Linked DNA regions of Mus musculus. The protein of the gene in region 2 interacts with the protein of the main gene of each other region in a biochemical or structural test. Links are inferred from orthologs where the notes say so. Each region holds a gene or a part of one and is shown on either strand. Other genes may lie near its edges.

Region 1 (10,551 bases), on a different chromosome or scaffold from region 2:
CCGGGAGACTAACAGGAGTAAGGAGTACTATTGCATCTTACAGGTTTTAGAGAGGTAGGTAACCCCATTCCATGTCATGAATGACTAGTCAATAGTACACGATAGAGGCACGCACTCTTATTCCAGGACTGGAGTTCATTTCCCAGTACCCATGTCTGTACACTCACAACCACCTATGACTCTAGCTCCAAGGGAAAGAGGAAAAGTTTGTTTCTTTAGCTAATGCGTGTCTATCATATGAGATGTGCCGCCTGTAACCGCCGATTGCTGGGGTTTGGTGCACCGCCTTAGGGGAAGTGAGGATTGCAGACTGGTCAGAGTTTATTTTTTATTTTTTGCAGAAGCTGTGAGGATGAAGAAAGAGGCTCTGCAAGTCAGTATAGCCTGACTAGTCCTAAGCCCAAGCCTAACATGTTCCAATAGACTCTTTTACTTAGTCAATTAATTAATTAAACAGGGTATCATTCTGAAACTCTAGCTGTCCTCTGACCTATGCTGGGGTATGCACATTATACACACACATACACACACACTTACACACTCAAAATAGAGTAAAAAACAAAGGTGTTCTTCTATACACTATTATTGTTTTGTTTTTCTTTCTTTCATTCGTTTTGTTTGTTTGTTTGTTTGTTTGTTTGTTTGTTTTTCGAGACAGGGTTTCTCTGTGTAGCCCTGGCTGTCCTGGAACTCACTCTGTAGACTAGGCTGGCCTCGAACTCAGAAATCCTCCTGCCTCTGCCTCCCAAGTGCTGGGATTAAAGGTGTGCCCCACCACACCCAGCTTGTTTTGTTTTTCGAGGCAGGGTGTCTTAGTCAGGGTTTCTATTCCTGCACAAACATCATGACCAAGAAGTAAGTTGGGGAGGAAAGGGTTTATTCAGCTTACACTTCCACATTGCTGTTCATCACCAAAGGAGGTCAGGACTGGAACTCAAGCAGGTCAGGAAGCAGGAGCCGATGCAGAGGCCATGGAGGGATGTTCTTTACTGGCTTGCTTCTCCTGGCTTGCTCAGCCTGCTCTCTTATAGAACCCAAGACTTCCAGCCCAGAGATGGTCCCACCCACAAGGGGCCTTTCCCCCTTGATCACTAATTGAGAAAATATCCCACAGCTGGATCTCATGGAGGTACTTCCCCAACTGAAGCTCTTTCTCTGTGATAACCCCAGCCTGAGTCAAGTTGACACATAAAATCAGCCAGTACACAGGGTTTCTCTGTGTAGCCCTGGCTGTTCTGGCATTTGGTTTGTAGACCAGGCTGGCCTCAAACTCCAGAGATCTGCCTGCCTCTGCCTCCGGAGTATTAGGACTACAGGTGTGTTCCACCACTGCCTGACTTTTTAATACATTATTAAAATCTGCAAAAAAAAAAAAAAATCATTCCAAGACAGATGAAGGGAACCCAGCTTTCCTTGAGCTCTAGACAGGGGTTGAGTGTTTTAAGAATATTGTTAAATTGCTGTTAGCACTAATGATGACCTTCCCTTCCTTCAGTTTTTCCTCTAATGGAAATCTCTTTAGGTTTATAGTATAAAAACTCCCAAGGTTTATTTTCATGTAACTAACCAAAGACATTGGGAATAGGGCAACTTAACTATCTAATTATCATCTATTGTACCCATCTCTCTCACTGTCCAGGCTGCCCTGAGGAAAAGGACTGTCAGTCTCATAAGTTAGCTAGATGACCCTTAGACTAGCACCAGCAATCTGGGACACACAACAGAAGTCTTGAGACAGCTGTGTAAAGATTGAAGCTGATTTTCCAGTGTATTTGACATAGTTGTTACCAGATATTTTGCTGTCATAGACCCCTATGAAATGTAGATGAACCTGAAAGCATTTCCAGCGTGACAGGAAGGGAGCCCTTTCCCTAGTGGAAGGACTACTGCGAATCAGTGCAAAGCCATGATTGGTCCAAAGCACATACTTCAGTGACTGTGATTAGTAAAAAAAATAAATAAATAAAAATAAAAAGTAGCCCGGGCGGTGGTGGCGCACACCTTTAATCCCAGCACTTGGCAGATTTCTGAGTTCAAGGCCAGCCTGGTCTACAAAGTGAGTTCCAGGACAGCCAGGGCTATACAGAGAAACCCTGTCTCGAAAAACCAAAATAAAAATTTAAAAAAATGGCTGTTATTGGCCCCAAATGAATGATTGTGGACCAAATACTCTTTCTTGGCTATTTAAGCAGGTCGCTTAGCCTTAGTTATTGTCCAAGTAGGAAACGTTTTCTTTTATTTTTATTTTTATTTTTATTTTTTTTATTTTGGAACTCACTCTGTAGACCAGGCTGGCCTCGAACTCAGAAATCCGCCTGCCTCTGCCTCCCAAGTGCTGGGATTAAAGGCGTGTGCCACCATGCTGGGCAAGTAATTGTCTTTTTTTTTTTTTTTTTTTTTTGGTTTTCTTTTTTGTTACAAGTAATTGTCTTAATCACTGTTCTATTGCTGTAAAGAGACACCATGACCAAGGCAACTCTTCCCCTCCCCCCACCTTTTTTTTTTTGTTTGTGCGACAGGGTTTGTTTGTGTAGCTTTGGCTGTGATGGAACTCACTTTGTAGTCCAGGCTGGCCTTGAACTCATGAGGTCTGCCCGCCTCGATTAAAGGCTGTGATTAAAGGCGTGGGCCACAAGCCCTCCCAATAGCAGTTGCTAAGTTGTGTAAAGAGGTTGTCTTGAAACTGAAGAAGCTGAACAATTCAAGAGTAATTACTACTGGGGAGATGGCTCAGGGGATGAAGTGTTAGGACCTGAGTTTAGATCCTCAGTACATCGTTTTAAAAGCTAGGCATGCTGGGTATGGTACACACCTTTAATCTCAGCATTCAGGAAGGAGAGGAAGGCGGATCTCCTAGAAGTCTGCCTAGACGAATAGCAAGTTCCCACCAGCTGGCCAACATTGTAAGACCCTATCTCAACAAACAAGTGATCAAGTCTCTATAGATTATATGCAACATGAAAAATTTTATATCCTGAATAAATTGTCTTCCCCATTCCCTTTTACAGCCTTTCCTCCTTTTGATCGCAATTTTCTCTGTGTTTAGTATTGACAGTGTATCCACTTGAGACCTGGAAACTAATAGCCCTCCTTGGGAGGTAAAGGCAAGAGGATCAAAGTTCAAAGCCATCTTCAGATACACACTACAGAACTCATGGCCAGGCTGGTTTACATGAGAACCGCTAGCAGCAGCACAACACGCAGAGCACCCTGAGCTACTAAGTACTGGCAGCTGCCCCGCCCATTAGCAGCACCAAGTATACACTGAGCATGCACCGCTCCCCGACGGAAGCCGAGAAGGAAAGGGGCGGGCCGTGGCTGGCGGGCGCGGGGAAAATGGCGGCGGCAGCTGCGGCGGGGGCGAATGGGAGCGGAGGCAGCAGCGGCATGGAAGTGGATGCAGCAGGTAACGGGGTGCGCAGACCGACTTCTGGAGTTGCCCTTGAGAAGTGGTCTTGAGTACTTCTTAAACCTGTCCCAGGATAACTTGAGGGCAGCGATGGACGGCCGGGCTCTGCTGGTCCCCTGCTTCCATGTCTAGGGGAAAATGTGTGGGCCCGAGCTCTCAGCCGCTATGTTTTCCTTTCACCTTTAACAGTCCCCAGCGTGATGGCCTCCGGAGTGACTGGGAGTGTTTCCGTCGCTCTTCATCCCCTTGTCATCCTTAACATCTCAGACCATTGGATCCGCATGCGCTCCCAGGAGGGGCGGCCTATGCAGGGTGAGTGTTGTGTGTAAATCTCAAAATCTCTTGGAGATTTCCTCCAGTCACTCCCCTGCGCCCTTTCTTCCAAATTATTGTTTCCCCAGTCGTTGATTCACGCCGACTCGGGAAAGGTTTTCCGAGACGCCTGTTCCTCACCTAGTTTCCTTGCGCTTCTGTTTCTCTCCCCTTAGTGATTGGGGCTCTGATCGGGAAGCAGGAGGGGCGAAATATCGAAGTGATGAACTCCTTTGAGCTGCTGTCCCACACCGTGGAAGAGAAGATTATCATTGACAAAGAATATTATTACACCAAGGAGGAGCAGTGTGAGAGGGGAATAGAAGTGGGTGGGGAAGGAAAAGTGGGAAGATTTTTGTTTTGTTTTGTTTGTCTTAAAGAATAAAAGGCCTGAGGATGTAGGGCAGTGGGGTAAAGTGCATTTCCTAACATTCGGGAAGACCAGAGTTCAATCCTCAGTACCATATAACCCAGGAGATAGAGGCAAGAGGTCAGAAGTTCAAGGTTAGTTAGGTGTAGTTATTTTAAACTGACCCAAAATATGAGGAGGGAGGGGAGAACCGGAAAGAACACACCAGGCCCATCAAACTAAGGAAGAGAGGTTTAAAGGAATATTTACTCTGGCCCCTTCTTCTCCAGTTAAACAGGTTTTCAAGGAGCTGGAGTTTCTGGGTTGGTATACCACAGGGGGGCCACCTGACCCCTCAGACATCCACGTCCATAAGCAGGTATAGAAGCTCAAATATGTGCATGTTGGGGAAATGAACAGAAGGTTAGGGGAAGAGGAGATACTGACTCTTCCTGGGCTTTGCCTTATCTTCTAGGTGTGTGAGATAATTGAGAGTCCGCTCTTTCTGAAGTTGAACCCTATGACCAAGCACACAGATGTGAGTGTTGTTGACCCAATGTCCCCTTTTTCTTGATCATCTGCCACTATGCCTTTGCTCTAATTTACCGACATTATGTGTATTAGAGAAAGCTTGAGTTGAATCTCTACCCTGCTGTTTACACCCATCAGTTGTGTGACTTCATCTCTTCAGTGGTGTTTCCATATGTAATGTGTGTAAAACCTAGAGAAAGCATGAGCCAAGTGTGGTGACAACACTTGTAACCAATCTTAGCACTCAGGAGATTGAGGCAGGATTGTGAGTTCAAAGCCAGCCTGGCATGTGTGTAAGTTCAAGTGCATTTGCTTTTAGTAAGAGCTGTTCTCTTGTCTCCGTCTGTGTTTTTACAGCTTCCTGTCAGCGTTTTTGAGTCTGTCATCGATATAATCAATGGAGAGGTAATATATAACCTGCAACCTTCAAACCTTTTAGCCTGTTTCCTGCATGCCGTGTGCAGGCATAGGACAACCCTGGGTGTCCATCCTAGCTTTCTACCTTGGGACAGACTCACTTGTTTGCCAGGCAGGTTGGCCTGTGAGCTTCTGGGAATTGTGTCTCCACTTCCCATCTTGCTGTAGGGGTTCCAGGATTACAGTCACATGCTGTCACATCTCACTTAATGTGGGTTCCGAGGCTCTAAATTGAGATCCTCAGTTGTGCAGCAAGTACTCTACCTGCTGAGCCATCTGCCTAGGCCTAGGTCTGTTTCCTGACTCTCCCTATCTGAGAACTCTTTACTCTGCAGGCCACAATGCTGTTTGCTGAGCTCACTTACACTCTGGCCACTGAGGAAGCTGAACGGATCGGTGTAGACCACGTGGCCCGGATGACAGCAACAGGCAGTGGGGAGAACTCCACTGGTAAGGGAGGGGAATTCAGTCTTTGGAGGTAGGGGTTGGGTGTGGCCACAGGCCGCCCTTCATTTGCCCCATTCCCCTGCAGTGGCTGAACACCTGATAGCTCAGCATAGTGCCATCAAGATGCTGCACAGCCGTGTGAAGCTCATTTTAGAATATGTCAAGGCCTCTGAAGCAGGTAGGAGAGGTGCCTGTCACTTTGAAACATTTTTCCTCTCCTGGAAAAGTGACAGCATCCACATCAGTGCAGCCTCCTTGTGTCCTTAGGAGAGGTTCCCTTCAACCATGAGATCCTGCGGGAGGCCTATGCCCTATGTCACTGTCTTCCAGTTCTCAGCACTGACAAGTTCAAGACAGACTTTTATGATGTGAGTGTTGACACCTTTGATGGGGAGGTGGGGCTCACACCACCTCACAGGTAGGAGGTGAAACTCAAGTGTCACTGGCTAATACGAGGGACCCCTGGGGAACTGGTTCTTTGTGTTCCCTCCCAGCAATGCAATGACGTGGGGCTCATGGCCTACCTCGGCACCATCACCAAAACGTGCAACACAATGAACCAGTTTGTGAACAAGTTCAACGTCCTCTACGACCGACAAGGCATTGGCCGGCGAATGCGGGGACTGTTTTTCTGATGATGGTTCTGGAAGGGATGGTGTGTGGGGCTCAGACAGCTGTTCCATGGACCTGAGTACCACATTCCCTTTAGAGAAACTCATTAATAAAAGAGCAGCCCCTTAGCAGCCCTTCCAGTGGCTTTGTCCTCTCAGGCACCACACTGGTTTCTCAACATGGACTCTTAAGGAAGCTTCACCCATTAATCCACATTTTTTGACCACCTACCCACCTTTTAATGACTCGAGGTGACCCCTTGTTGAAGTAGACAAAATGTGATAGGACGACCTGCTTGCTTCCAGTTTTTGTGCTCTGTGATCAATTCATGTCACAGCTCCACAGAAAGATTGCTTTCCCAGGCTAATTTAATTTCACTGCAAATGTTTCTCAAATAGGAAGGGGAGGGAAGCTGAATTCCATCTTTGTAATTGTGGTTATCTCAAGTCCTTGTTTTTCTATATCCTGAAGGTACCTAGGAGGGTGATATGTACCTCATCCTTAGGCCTTCCACTTAAGTCATACCTTGTGCTAGGCGCAACTTTCTGCCCTTCACATCCTGGTGTCATCACGTCTAGATGTGGGGGTCTAACAAACGAAATGTCCATAATTGGAAGCATCTCAAGAAACAGTGGTCCCAAGGCCTTCTATCTCCCAGATTGACTAGCACATAGTAAGGGTCAGTACTAGAGACTAGGGGAGGAGAGAGCATACTAAAAACTCTACAGAGTTATTAACAAGCAAGAGGCAATCAAAACACTTTATTGGCAGAATAAAAAAGTGCAGCATGGGAGAATGAGATTTTTTCTTGAGGGGGCATTCAGCATGCCCTCTGGTGTAGGCAGGAGGGTGTAAAAACTGGCTATCAGACAAAGGTGATCCGTGTCCGAGAAGTATTAACCTGCCAGACATTTAGCTCCTCATATTCATCCAGAGCTGCCTGGAACTGGGCTGGTGTGAAGCCACGAGATATGCAGCGCTGTTCAGCCTCAGAAAAGTGGACACTCCGCCCCCGTGACACCAATTCACGGATGGTGGCAAATATCACATCTGCTGGCCTCTGGGTCCTAAAAGACAAGGATGGAAAAGGTGAAGGTGCAAGGCCACAAACAGTAGCAGCAATCAGCATCAAAACCCTGAGGGCAAGCCAGGTCAATAAGCCCAGTGGTCCAGTCTCACTCTTCATTAAAATCCTCACCTAGCTGTCTGTCCCTTTTCACCTAGAAGGGAGTCCTTCGACATCTCCATCAACCTTATGGCTTCATTTACATCTTCCTTCTCCACAATGTCTACCATCCGAAGTCGAGCCTAAGGGGAAGGCATAGAAAAGATTGGGATAGGAGGGGAGGAGGGGAATGAAGTCAAGGATCTTTCTTTGCTCCAGCTTCAAGCCTGGGCAAGCCACATTTGCCTACTCATTGAACAAAAATGGGGACTCCTCCCTGCCCCCCCACATCTGCAGTGTTGGGCCGGCACTGTCAGACCGAGACAAGTGCAATGCCCAGGGCAGCGTCCAGCAATTGCCCAAGTCTCCGCCTCTCAACACTGGCCAGTCCCGGTGGGTGTTCAGCTGTCCTGTGAGGGAGACCAGACCCTTCTGAACTCCACTAGGCTCCCCATCAAACAAATGGAGCCTGGGGCGCTCAGCTAGGGCCACTATCAGAGGTTGTGTCCTGGGGGCTCGGGAAGTGCTAGCTCAGCAGTAGGTCAGGTAATTACACTACCTGCACGAACAGCACTTTGGAGCCCCCATGACTAAGGTCCAAGAGGGGAGGACAGAATGGAGATTTCTAAGATCATATCTAGGACACCAGGAATTCAAGTCCTAGCCCTCATGGATTCAAGCAGCAAGCAGCCTTTCCCTCCATGGGCGTTGCACGTGCCCTGCTGGAGCAGCAAGTACCCACAGTGCGGTAGCACAGAGAGGACCACTATCTGCACTGTCAGCACTTTAGTCCCAGCAGGGCTGGTAGGAGGGAAGGAGGCGGCTTGAGGGTCATTAGGTGAGGTGGCAGGCAGGGGTCAGCTTTCCAGCTGACAGGGACCCACCACTCACCAGAGCAGTGGAAAGTCGGAGAATGGCCAGCAGGGTCCGGGCAGAAGTATAGGTGGCATCCTTACTGGCCCGGGCCTCTCGCCTCATCTCCACATATGCTGCGGTGATGTAGTCAGCCAGAGATTCAGGCACTGTGGGCTGTCTCTCGTGGCACATGGCTATGTACCGTCTGTGGGAAACAAGGTTCATGGGAAAGCGGGAAAGCAGGCAGGCTTTATGAGATTCCCCACTTAATATTCTATGCTGACGTGGACAGTGAGGGATTTCTCCAAAACAGGGCTGCCAGGACACTTCAAGTAACTTCCAACTTTTCAGGAGAATGACATTTACCAAAGCACCTGTAGTGGGAGGATTTAACTTAACCCCTTGACAGACTTCAGAGACCATGTGAAAACCAGTTTAGAAACCCGAGTCATCTGTGCCATGGAAGCACTTATGGCCAAAAAGCTAGACCTGCCTCGGACAGGATTTAGAGAGTGAGAGAGGTTCCTTTATATACAGGAGGGAAGTAGTTTTTGGAGACATCCCCAAAATGACTCAGGTTTCAGAGTAGCTAGGATTATATAAGGCCTGCTGCTCTGTCATCCCAAAACAGAAAAAAAGTTTCTGATGATCCCTTGGCTACAGAGAGACCCAGGCTCAGCTACTTTTGAGGCTGAAATAGATAAGCAGATGAGTCCTTTCAAGACTCAATGCTTTCCAGACACACTTGGCATAAGACAATGCCACAGACCAGTACTCTCCCCAGACATACCCATCTCCACCCCTCCTACCTCATAAGTTTCATGTCCAAAGGTTCAAATTGGGCAGGGGGCTGCCGGCTGTGCTGGTGGACATAGGTGATGTGCTGGGCCAACCTGGAGAGAAGACGGGCGTCAGTCTTTAGAGCTCTAACACCCTGAGAATCTTGACTCAGTATCCCCTTTTAGCACCACCTCTTCTCCAAAGCATGGCAGACAGGCCTCCCAGAAAACCCTCAAGATCTTAGCTCCAACCTATCTCCATATGAACTGCAAACAAGGAAAGGTGTTTAAGGTGTCTGCACACAGACAAGTTGAGTGGCTTTCTGATTTTACCTCCCTGCCCCAAAGTCACTAAAATGGGCTGTCTCTATGGGTGTCATCTACTTCATTCACCGGAGGTCATTGTCTCTGTCGGGCCGGTCTTGAATCAGCCAGAGGAGGTCGAATCGAGAAAGCAGAGCAGCCGGAAGCTGGACGTTCTGCTCCAGACTGCGGCGGGGATTATATCGGCCGTAGGCAGGATTGGCCGCAGCCAGGATGGAGCATCGGGCATTGAGCGTGGTGAGAATCCCCGCCTTGGCGATGGAGATGGTCTGCTGCTCCATAACCTCATGGATGGCTGTGCGGTCAGCCTCGGCCATCTTGTCAAACTCATCAATGCAGCACACGCCCTGGTCAGCCAGCACCAGGGCACCGCCCTCTAAAGTCAGTTCTCCACTCACAGAGTCTCTCAACACAGCTGCTGTGAGCCCTACACCAGAGGAGCCACGGCCTGTTGTGTACTGACCTGCAAAGATAAAGAGCAAACTGCTGAAGAAAGGAACCGCTTTCCCCAGGCCTTCCAGAGGCCTTAGTGTTTATCAACCAAACACCAAGCCTCATCCCTGTTCACACTCACTTCGCGGTGCCAGACGGTCGATGTAAGATAGGAGCTGAGATTTGGCCACACCAGGGTCTCCCATAAGGCAGATGTGGATGTTTCCTGGCAAATGAGAAGGAAGCCTGAGTGATACTCTTTACCCAAGTTGTCCACCAACAGAGAAGAGCACTTGAGACCTGGTCCCTTCTTAAAGTCCAGACTACTTCTAAGACACAACAACCACTAAGGTAAATCATCAACTCTTGTCATTTACAGACTCTCGTGGGATGTTTTTTTACCCTCCCTCCTAAGTCTCTTGTCCTTCTTACCTCTGATCTTCATGCCTTGAGGAGACTGGTCCACACCACCCACCAGAAGCAGCAGCAGCGCCTTCTTCACATCTTCATGTCCATAGATCTCCGGAGCAATAGAAGCGGCCAGCTTCTCATAGAAATCCTCCTCTGCAAAAAATTAAGCCATAGCATTTCCTTCAGGACAAAATCTAGGATGGAGCTCAACTCTCAACTTGAGCTCGTGGTCCCTCACCTGCAATCTGCTTCAGCTCCTCTGAGCTCAGCTCTCCGGCCCCAGAGACATCATCGTCACTCTTTGTCATCTTCACAATCCAGTGGGCTTCCAGGTAAGTTTCTGAGAGTAAGCCCTGGACACAAGAGTTCCCTTTAAAGTCCCCATCACCAGAGTCCCTGAGAATTTTTTATCCACAAGTTCCACCTCACTGATTTTCATTTTCTAAGGGTGTGAAGAGTGAGTGGGTGGATGAGGAGGCAAGGCAGCTATTTCCTCATTCAAAACGCC
Region 2 (10,737 bases):
CATGTAGCCCAGGCTAGCCTCAAACTTGTAGCAATTCTGCCTCAGCGTCTAAATGCAGGGATTGCAGGCACACACCACCATGCCTAGTGAAAATGCTGCCGTAAGCTTCTTACAGTTCAGGCTGGTCTCCCGCACACGGTGACAGAATGCTTTATGTCTTCCTACACTCCACTCTACCAACCCGTTAGACTACTCACCCAAGTGGAGAAAAATCTCCCTCCCACCTAGGAGTCTGTTGCCTTTTAATGTATGGATTTCATGGGATTTTCTTGAGTTGTTATTGTGGACAAGTGTGCGCCTCTGTTCAAGCAAATGCAGGTGCCAATCATTAAACCCTCATGGAGTTGAAGTTACAGGCAGTTGTAAGCCATGTATTATGGGGGTTGGGAATCCACCTTGGGTCCTTTGCAAGAGTAGTATGCACTCTTAAACACTGAGCCATGTCTCCCATCTCTGGAATTTCTGATCTCTAACAGAATTTTATAACTACCACATAGGAAGCTCCAGGTCAGTTTCTGCTATATGGCAAGATCCTGTTTCAAAGGACAAAGGAAAAAACTCTATAAAACACCAACTGTAGGTATGTACCGTGGCGACCCACACCTATAGTCCCAGCACTTGGAGACAGAAGACAGTCCGGAAATCCTTCTCCAACCAAAGCAAACTAAACAGACCGAGCAGAGCAATGGGTGGGGAGCAATTTCCATCACACAGTGAAACCAAAAACCCAGATAAAAAACCTATGGAAACCCAGTACTTTGTAAGCTAATTTCTAGTTTTAAAATTTCAAGGTTTTCTAGGGAGGATCTGGAGAGAGACTCTGCAGTTAGGAGCACTTGCTGCTCTTGCAGAGAACCCAGGTTCTATTCCCAGCACCCACACAGTGGCTCAGAACTCTGTAACTCCAGGTCCTAGTATCTGAGGCTCTCTTTTGGCCTCTGCTGGCACCACTATGGCACACATATGTTGCACAGATAGAAGCAAGCAAACACACACATTAAATTAAAAATTTAGGGCTGGAGAGATGGCTCAGTGGTTCAAAGTGCCAACTGCTCTTCTGAAGGTCATGACTTCAAATCCCAGCAACCACATGATGGCTCACAACCATCCATAATGAGATCTGATGCTCTCTTGTGGTGTGTCTGAAGATAGCTGCAGTGTGCTTACATATAAGTAAATAAATCTTTTTTTTTTTTTTTTAATTTAGCCAGGCGTGGTGGCTCACACCTTTAATCCCAGCACTAGGGAGTAAGAGGCAGGCAGATCTCTATAAGCTCGAGGCCAGCCTGGTCTACAGAGCAAGTTCCAGAACAGCCAGGGCTACACAGAGAAACCCTGTCTTGAAAAACCAAAACCAAAACAGAAACGAAAACCAACTGAGCACTCACTTCTTCCCCAGCAATTATCCTCCCTTCCCCTATGTCCCGGAAGCAGGAGGCCTCCTGGAGCATAAAAACCACACTGCACTGGGCTGTGAGGGACAGGTATCAACAGTCCCCCTCTTCCTTAGGAATAAAGCCAGGCAGAGGATTTTAGAGCTGTTAACTGTAGGCTGGTCTGGAACCAACCTACAAGAAAAGATTTAACTAGATTAAAAGGGATCTGAGGAGTAGCTCAAAACATCAGAAACTGGCGTCGATTTCAGAGGCAAGAGAATCAACTAGCTTATTTCAGAAAGCTAAGAGCCAAGAGTGTAAACTAAATCAAGTTTGGTGGTGCACACCTGTGATCCCAGTGCTCTGCTGGAGGGAAGATGGCATCCTGAATCCAAGGCCATCCTGAAATACAAGACTGTCTCAGAACTACAGTAACAACCCCCAAACACACACACCAAACCACCACCAGGACTTTGCCCCTACTTTCTGGTCTAATGACAGCAAGCTTTGGAAGCAGTTAAGAGTAATTTGTCTATAACCAGGCATGGTGGTTACATGTCTTTAATCCCAGCACTCTGGAGCAGAGGTAGGTAAATCTCTTAAGTTGAGCCAGTCTGATCTACAGAGTGCATTTCAAGAGAGCCAGGGCTATAGAAAGACCATGTCTCGAAGGAAGGAAGGGAGGGAGGGAGGGAGGGAGGGAGGGAGGGAGGAAGAAATTTGTCCTGAATCCCCAGCTAGAAAAAAGCCCAGGCCCAGTCAACACTAGACCCACTAGGCTCTCGGACAGCACTTCACACTTGAGTGAGGGTTCAATTGTGCTTCAAGTTAGTACTTCCTGCCTCTAGGGGCAAGGAGCACTCTAGGCCAATCTCCTGGCATACATACTTCTTGGAAACTCTTTTAATTTGGACAAAAGGGACAGAGACCAACAAATCTAATCGTTTTATGTGCTTTCAATGTCAAAAGTCAAGTTCACTACCAACACCTCCCTTGTGATTCTCTGAGGTGACAGGAAGCAGACCACACTGCAGGTCCTTGGGCAGGACAGTCAGTGATGGTGTCTGCATCTCCATTGTTAGGACATGGCGGTGTTCAGCAGGTGCCCGTGACTGCTGACCATGGGCTGAGGGATGGAGCAATCTGTCCAGGGTCTAGGCCTCCTAGCTGCTAGGCCCAGAGTCTGCAAAGTGTCTGGTTCTTTTCACTTGGCACTTGGCTTTACAGTGGACTGGGGATTAATCTTCTCCCTGTTAACAAACATCAAAGACAGAAGAGGCCCAGTTCCTGGCATTTTTGTACATAGATTTCTCATAGATTTATTTCTGTGTCATGTGTCAATATATATAGACCTATTCATATATATTTTTTATTTTTAATATACAATCTATATTTCCTTCCCCACCAGAACCACAGGAGGAGATATAAATCCTTCCAGGATTTCCATTGGGCTTCCTAAGATGATGAGCAACAAAGAACCATTTCTTAACATCTCAAAAATAGCTGTTCTCAGGCTCTGGGGTCACTGAAGCAGCAGTATCCCCAGGCCCAAGGAGATGAGAGAGGAAAGAAACAATTGTAGTGTGATGGGGTTCTGGGAGGAAAATGTCCAGCGACTCCCAGGGTAGCAGACTGGCTCCAGAACTCTAAGGCTGGAATGAAGGTGGAGACCCCCTTCCCCATGGCTTTTCAGATGCAGCCCACTAGGCAAGGGGAGGAGGAGGAACTGCAGATTAGGCATGCAGGGGTAGGTGTGGGTGGTTAAGAGCCAGCACCCTCCATAGGACTGCCAACCTGCTCAATGACAGGGGTAATGGGCAGACACAGTGCGGAAAAACGATGAGAGCAAGCGTGCTGGGGAAGAGCATGGAACACATAAGAGGTACCAACAGAACATGACCTGCACTGGCCTCCTCCCTACAGAGGGTGTGGCTTATGCTTGGGGGTGGAGGAGATGAAAAGTAATGAACTAGCATTATCAGCTGGCCAGGGGCACAGGAAGGCTCTGAGGACTCCTAAGGGGTAGGCAGGTAGGCAGCTGGGACCCCACATTCCCAGGGAAGAAACAAGTCCTTTCAGTTCGACTTGGACCAAATCTTGGCGCTCCCTCGGAGTCTGGCAAGGGGAAGAGAGAGAGAGGGGATGCAAGGGGTCCCCTAATTCCTAGAGGACACCCCCACTCCCGACCCCATGCAAATGACTAAAGCAGTGGAGCAGCCAGGTCCCTGAGGTAAAAGTGGGGTACCCAGAGACAAGTGGCTCCCGCATGGGCTCACCCCTTGCCCTTGGAGGCTTTCTTGCTGGGCTGGCGCTGGTTGGTGCCAGAAGCTGGTTCTCTCAGCTCTGTCAGGTGTTGCTCAGGATCCTGGGAGGTGGCTGCAGCAGCAGCTGCTGTCGTAACTTTAATGGTTTTCTTAAGGTTGGCAACCTATCAGGATGAAAGGAATGAGGGATAGCCAAAGGAGGTTCTGGAACCGGACGGGCCCTGATGATTTTATCAGTCGGCCTCAGCCCCATCGCAGCCCGAGTACCCAGGCTGGGGAGCTGCAGTCCATCCTGTCTGCTCACCTCACTTTCGATCTGCTGCTTCAGGCCCAGCTGCTGCTCCTTGTGCTGGTTGGCACGGCTGACCTGCTCTTCGATGCCCGACAACACAACCTCACAGCCCACGCACCTGTGGGAAGCAGGCAGATGAGAAGTCAGCAGGAGGCGGCAGTCATCACAGCCTCATAAAAACAAAGCAAACAAAAGCAAAAGTCTCAAAAGCTGGCCTCTAGGCTGGACTGAAAACCCTCGCCTGAGCTGGCAGCTCTCGCCAGGGCACCTGGGAACTAGCTACAACAGAATTCTTTTTTGTTTTGTTTTTGAGACAGGGTTTCTCTGTGTAGTCCTGGCTGGCCTGGAACTCACTCTGTAGACCAGGCTGGCCTCGAACTCAGAAATCCGCCTGCCTCTGGCTCCCAAGTGCTGGGACTAAAGGCGTGAACCACCACGCCCGGCTACAACAGGATTCTTTCTCCTCAGCAAACCCCAGGGCAGGAGAAGAAAGGGATAAGCAAGTGTCCTGGACAAGGTGGGTGGGGGTGGAGTGCTCGGAGAAATGGCTCAGGGGTGGAAGCTGCACTCACACTCACCTATAACCCCTCTACCTCTCTATCACACACACATAACTAAAAAGAAATCAAAATAACAAGATGAGAGCAGGAACCAGAAAACAAAACGGGAGAGTCAGGCATGGTGGGTACAGCAGCACACACCTGTAAGCTTAGAACCAGGAAGCAGAGGCAAGATTTCCAATTCAAGGCCAGCTTGGGGTACACAGTGAGATCACAATGAAGTTACACAGGGATACAAAGAAGAGAAGAGACCCATCGCGGCCCCTGGTGTTATTATGTGCAGTTGCCCTAAACTCAGCGTATGACAGTGACAAGCCTCCAGCTAGTCAAGAGCACAGCTCCATTCCTTTGCCCAGTTCCTGCCCAACAACCCTGACTCTGCGCCCAGGGCCCCCTTAGAGCCTCTGTCCCCTCAGAAACCCTGAGGAGAAAGCACTCTCCTAGGCTCCCCCTCCCCAGCCAGTCCCTGCTCTCCTGCTTGTATAAGGGAGGGTCAAGGCCTGACAAGTAAGTTCTCACCACTCTTGCAGGGTCTGGGCGATGGCACTGAGGTCCTGGCGCTGGATGTCCCGCCCGATGCTGTAATCAACCTCTAGCCGCTGATTGCGCTGGTCCAGAGAGCCACGAAGGACATCAGCATACACAGCCTCGATCACAAGGTCTTCCAGCTGGCGCACGTTTCGAAGGGCAAGGGCCTCCAGCAACACTGCATATGGGATACACTGGGTCCAGAGGTTAGACCGGAATTTGTGGGGTTCAAAAGCAGAGGAGGATTTCCCAGAATCCTCTTCCAGTTTTTCCCCAATGTCCAGGCCCACATCCCTCCACTCCTATCCGTAAGCCATTTTCTGGAAAATGTTGGTTCTAAAGCAAAACCCTATTACGGCCTCAAAAACATCACCAGAAAAGAATAATCTTCCTTCCTTTTCTTTCATGGCGTTCTGACACAGGGTCTCATTCTATAGCCCAGGCTGGCTTGGAACTCATTATGTAGTCCAGGCTAGACTTGACCTCACATTAATCCTTTTGCTTCAGAGTCCCAAGCGCTGGGCCGACATGAGACACGGCACCAGACTCAAAAAGGACAATCCAAAAACATGTGGTAGATGCTCTCCTATGCCCACCTCCCACTATATAGTGAAAGAACGAGTGTGACATCTTCCTGGTGCCATTTCTTTGGCTGTAGCTAAGGAAACTGTTTTTGATCAGCTTGACATCAGAGGATAGATAGGAGGGGTCTGGAGTTTCTGTTTATCATGTTGACTTAGCCATGTTACAAACTGGAATGACCTTGGGGAAGAATCTACAACCACAAGCCTAATTCCAGCAAAAATCACCAGGACTCAATTCTAGTTAACAACTGGGAGAATGTGATATAAAAAGTCTGTGCCCACAGGGGCACACAGGTACTGTAGGTCACACACATCTTACTATAGTAAGTAGAGAAGGACCCCAGTTCTAGCTCTGAGGCTCTGTTGGCCTGGAACTCCATCTGATGAATGAGCCGGCCAGCCTTCTAGTGGCTATTTTTACCCCAATCACAAAAGACGATGACTTAGAACTTCAGTTCAAACTGACAGACTCCTAACTAAGTGACTGCAGAAATGGAGTTTCAGTTCAGACCCAGACAGGGGAGGCCAATGGCTCTCCTTAGACTCCCTGGATTCACAACAGGTCGTCTCTGGCTTTGGACTGGCAGCTGGCAAGGCTGTCACTTACCTTGACTTTGGCAGCCAGAGTGACAACTGACAGATGTCGAAGCTTATTCTTCTGTGCGTCAGTCAGTGGGGGGAGATTCCTGGCTTCAGCTAGAGACAGGGAGAGAAGCCCGGGAATCTTGTTTTTAGCAGTTTCCTACAAGTTTTCTGTACCAATTATGGTCTAACACTGCAGAGGTTCACTTATGGCATCGTAGTAGGTATTTCTTCCAAGTCTCTCCAGAACCACCCTTCTCCTGTCTCCACAGCTCTGGCCCCTATTTACCTAAGTAGTCCGCATAGGTCCCATAGGCAAACACTGTGAGCAGCCGGAAGGTGGAGGCAAAGTCGCTTTCTGCCAGCTGCAAGAACGTGAGGGAGGAAGTGACAAGAAGGCCCTGATCTTACCCCATCCATCCCAACAGTACCTATCCTGGTCCCTCAGCTGCTCATCTCTACTCTGGCCCTTTGCTGCGCTAAGCAGCTAATTCCTACTCTCAGAGCTTAAAACTTTCAGTGTTGTGACTATTACAGGTGCACACGCGTACACCAGACATCGTAAACTGTGTGGCCCCCAGAGGGTATAGTGTGGCCACTGCTTCGCAATGTCCTCATAGTGAGGGCTTACTTCATCCACAGCATCTCCCTTCCTGTCACCCCCACTTATCCTGGCATACCATCCCTGTAGGTTCTCACTTAACAGTCTTTTAACAAGGCATTAGACCCAGCAGAGCTGCAGCCCTCGCAGTAAATAACTGATAAATGGCTGACTTGCTGACATATATTTTCATTCACTTATCTGATCTCTTTCACTGGCATCTACTTCATCCTAACGATATACTTCAGTTTACTGTGGATAAAATCAGCAACAAAAGCCAGTGTTTTGTAAAACAGCAGTCAAAGTAACTTTCTATCCTGATTCAACCAAAGGTCTTCTAATGCTTGGCTCAGTTTAGCCACACACTTCGGTCAGGCTCTCGTGACAGGCTGGTGTCACGAGAGTGGCAATCCACCTGCTCTATGCTTTCTAAGTTCTTGACGCAGCCATTTCTGTGAGTGGTTCTCATTACTGTGTTCATAGCTTTGCTACCGTCTTAGGGCAGAAGACAGCATCTTCATTTTCTACCTTAAATGAATCAGAATGTGTGACACTTTGGGGGTGGGGTGGGGTACCATGGCATAATTCAATATGCTCATTCTTTCTGATTTCAGGGGACTTTAGACTTCCCCACAATGTTACTTCTGTAACCGTGAAGGGAACTGTGTGCTTTTTTAGGTTTTTCCTCATTGCAGTTCTGAGAACTGAACCTATACTGAGCCTTGCAAACTACAGACAAGGGCTCTTTCACTGAAAAGACCCCCACTCCTTTTTGAGATGGAGTCTAAGTTGCCCACGCTGATCTAAAAAGTTGTGGTCCCCTATCTCAGCATCCCAAGTTCCGAAATCGAAGCCAAGGCCTCACAAGTGCTAAGCAACTACTCTATCAGCAGTTAGATTCTCACCACCATTTTAAAGAGAAAACTGAGGGTTTTCTGATCCAGGTTTTCTGACTTATTTTGTTTTTAAGATAGGGTTTCTCTGTGTAGCCCTGGCTGTCCTGGAACTCAATCTGTAGACCAGGCTGACCTACAACTCAGAGATCCAACTCTTTCTACCTCCCAAATGTTAGTGACAGGATTATTAAGAGGTATCACTAGGCAGGCATGGTAGCACAAGTCTTTAATCCCAACACTCGAGAGGAAGAGGCAGAGGATCTCTGAGTTGAAGGCCAGCCTGGTCGACAGAGAGAGTTCCAGAACACAGTTATAGTACATAGAGAAACCCTGTCCTGAAAAAAAAAAAAAAAAAAAAACCAACACAAAAAGATATCATACTGGTGGACAAGCTGGAGTTTATCAGTGGTATTCTTAATGACTTGTTCTTTTGCTTCAAAATTAAAGATTTCTGCTTGCTTCAGCAACACATATACTAAAACTGGAACGATCCCGAGAAGATTAGCATGGCCCCTGAGCAAAGACGACACTCCAATTTGTAAAGCGTTCCATATTTTTAAATAACAAAAAAAATTATGCATGAGACATAGGCAGGGATTTCCCACACATTCAAGGCCACCTTAGACCATAGTTACTAGTTTAGGGCAGCCAGGACTACACAGTGAAATCCTGACTCAAAGTGTGGGTACAGAGGGAGGGAGCACTAAGTTTACAGACCCTTTATCTGTAAGATAATGAAGACCTTTATTTGATTGATTTATTTTTCCATGTTGAGAGCTAATTATCGGTACCCCGATCACCTGAGTGGTTACTGGGTACAAAAAACGAGCCCAGCACTCAAGAGTTAACTTTGGTCCCAACGTTCTTTGGGGACTACCCAGGCAAGCAACACACCTCTCTAACATTAGGCATATCCAGCAGTTCCCCAAACACGTAGACACCAGGGGCCTCCAGCACCTGGTGGATGAGTGTGGCCAGTGCCGCCCCCTTAGCCGACTTGGCAAGGAGCAGAAACTGCTCTTGGTTCTGCCCTGTCACCTTCACCTCCGCACTCATGGCTGCGCCGAGGTGCGGGGCTCTGGCCTCAAGATTTCTGGAGCTGCAAGGAAAGAGGAACGTGAAACTAAAGGTCCCTGGACCCTGCGAGGGTGGTCAGCTCGAAGGGACGGGAGCTGCACGCTCAAGAGGGACCCCGCCACATCCGCAGTGAGTAAGTGGGGTCCTGAGGTCTAAAAGGCAACTCGAGGGCTCCTCCAAGCCAGCCCCATCCTGGCTGCCACGCCCACCCGCTCCGTCATCCCGGGCCCAGTCCCAAGCCCCACCACGTGCACCCCATTGAGTTCCAAGACTGATGAACCAGGGAAGGGAGAGATAGCACATGGTGTCTACCGGACGACGACGAACCCCCACTTCGGGACGCGAGTCGTGCACGTGGCCGCCCCCACGTGACCTCACCTCCTCGCGCCTGACTCGCGGCTCCACCCCCTCCCTTAAAGAGGCAGCCCCGGGACCGGCCGGGGTCTGCGCCCAAGGCCAGGTCGTACCCCCGGACCGACTGCAACCGACGGCTACCTGGAAGCCTCGTCTCCCAGCGCACGGGGCGGGGCGGCCGCTCCGTCACCTCCGGCAGCGGCTCCCAAGCCTTTCCTGCCACCTCCCCGCAGGGCCGCTCTAGCCGCTCGCTTCTATGGCCAGCTTCCGGCCGTACTTCCGCTCTCGGGAGGCGGGTTCCGGGCGGCTCCGGCCTGCTTCCGTTTCCGGACCGCGGGAGGCGCGAGAGCGGCGCCCATCTTCCGCTCTGTCCGTGCATCTTTATGGGTGCGAGAGCGGTGAATGCAGGGTGCGGAGAGGACCTCGGCTCTGCGGAGGTCCGGGGGAGCGACCCTCCCGGGAGCTGCAGGACAAGGCAGGATGGCGGCCCCGAGTTCCTGCGGCGACGTGAGCGTTAGCGGAAGGCGAGAATTCGCAGAAAGAAAAAATAAGGGAGAAAGGAGAGAAACGAGGCTATAAATAGTCCAACAACTTATCCACTCTTTTTAAAGAGCAGAAGAAAAGTTTAAAGGGTAAGGGGGCAGGAAGTGGTAACACATGCCCCCACCCCACCCCCCGGCGTATTGGAGGTAGAGGTAGGGGAGAATCAGGAGTTCAAAACCAGCCTCAGCTCCATCGCAGATTCCAAGCCAGTTTGAGCAACATGAGAACCGGTCTCAATAAGAAAGAAAACAAACCCCCGAGTGATTAAGGGGGAAAAGGAAGTGTATTGGTTAGGCTTTTGAGGTTTTCTTCCCATAGAAGTTTCAGATCGCATGACCAGACTTTTGGCCATGGTTACTACAAATAAATATTGAGTCATTTTTTTAGTCTTTGGATCCCAAATTAGCAAGGAGAAAAGTGTGAGTGGAACCAAGGCAGATGAGGAAATTTAAAAGTTAAAGGATTCAGCCGGGCACTTGTAATCCCAGCATCCAGGAGGCTGAGGCAGGAGGATTGCTATATGTTGGGAGGTTATCCCGGGCTACAGTGTGAGAGACCCTATCTCCCAAATATCATGGTGGTACACACCTTTAATTAGGTGGATTTCTGAGTTGGATCATCCGCCACTAAATAGACCAGGTTTCAAAATGAAACAAAACAAAAATCCTTACAGAAACCATATAAGGAGGAAATTAAGGTAAAGCCAGGTTTACTGTTAGATGATTTGTAATCCTATCACTCAGTAGGCTGAGGCAGGAGAATTGGACCTTCAAGGGCTGAGTTCTGGAACTAACCTGTAGGACAAAGAAATATGGATAGGGTCCAAGTGCATACCTGTCTGATTCCGTCGCTTCCTTCGAGGGATGGTGGTGCATGCTTGTGGTCTAGCACTTGGGAGGCTAAGTCAGGAGTATCTTAGGCCCAAAGGCCATGTGAGCTGCATAGTTCCAGGCTGAGAGTGGGAGAGAGAGAAGAGTTAGAAAACAAGGCAATGAATGGGCTGGAGAGATGGCTCAGCAGTTTAGAACACTGGCTGCTCTTTCAGAGGTCCTGAGTTCAAATCCCAGCACCTACATGGTG

Evidence for each region.
Region 1: the proteins of Cops7a (region 2) and Cops6 form a complex in vitro, tested with the Homo sapiens proteins (3 studies listed by BioGRID, with this or other methods). The link is inferred for Mus musculus from reciprocal best matches to the Homo sapiens genes COPS7A and COPS6.

Annotation. Positions count from the first base shown.
Region 1 is NC_000071.6:138,157,777-138,168,327, forward strand, and holds Cops6 (COP9 signalosome complex subunit 6), read left to right. Parts: upstream 1-3,325; 5' UTR 3,326-3,336; coding exon 3,337-3,406; intron 3,407-3,598; coding exon 3,599-3,721; intron 3,722-3,897; coding exon 3,898-4,029; intron 4,030-4,360; coding exon 4,361-4,449; intron 4,450-4,545; coding exon 4,546-4,608; intron 4,609-4,958; coding exon 4,959-5,006; intron 5,007-5,353; coding exon 5,354-5,468; intron 5,469-5,550; coding exon 5,551-5,643; intron 5,644-5,732; coding exon 5,733-5,833; intron 5,834-5,959; coding exon 5,960-6,100; 3' UTR 6,101-6,208; downstream 6,209-10,551. Other genes in the region: DNA replication licensing factor MCM7, read right to left, coding at 6,943-7,144, 7,276-7,385, 8,134-8,302, 8,907-8,990, 9,270-9,663, 9,775-9,858, 10,065-10,196, 10,282-10,396. UniProt on the Homo sapiens protein: Component of the COP9 signalosome complex (CSN), a complex involved in various cellular and developmental processes.
Region 2 is NC_000072.6:124,956,147-124,966,883, forward strand, and holds Cops7a (COP9 signalosome complex subunit 7a), read right to left. Parts: upstream 9,367-10,737; 5' UTR 9,256-9,366; exon of another isoform or gene 9,139-9,255; intron 9,121-9,138; exon of another isoform or gene 9,006-9,120; intron 8,783-9,005; 5' UTR 8,740-8,782; coding exon 8,578-8,739; intron 8,242-8,577; exon of another isoform or gene 8,137-8,241; intron 6,552-8,136; coding exon 6,476-6,551; intron 6,301-6,475; coding exon 6,212-6,300; intron 5,215-6,211; coding exon 5,012-5,214; intron 4,051-5,011; coding exon 3,945-4,050; intron 3,805-3,944; coding exon 3,653-3,804; intron 3,492-3,652; coding exon 3,452-3,491; 3' UTR 2,670-3,451; downstream 1-2,669.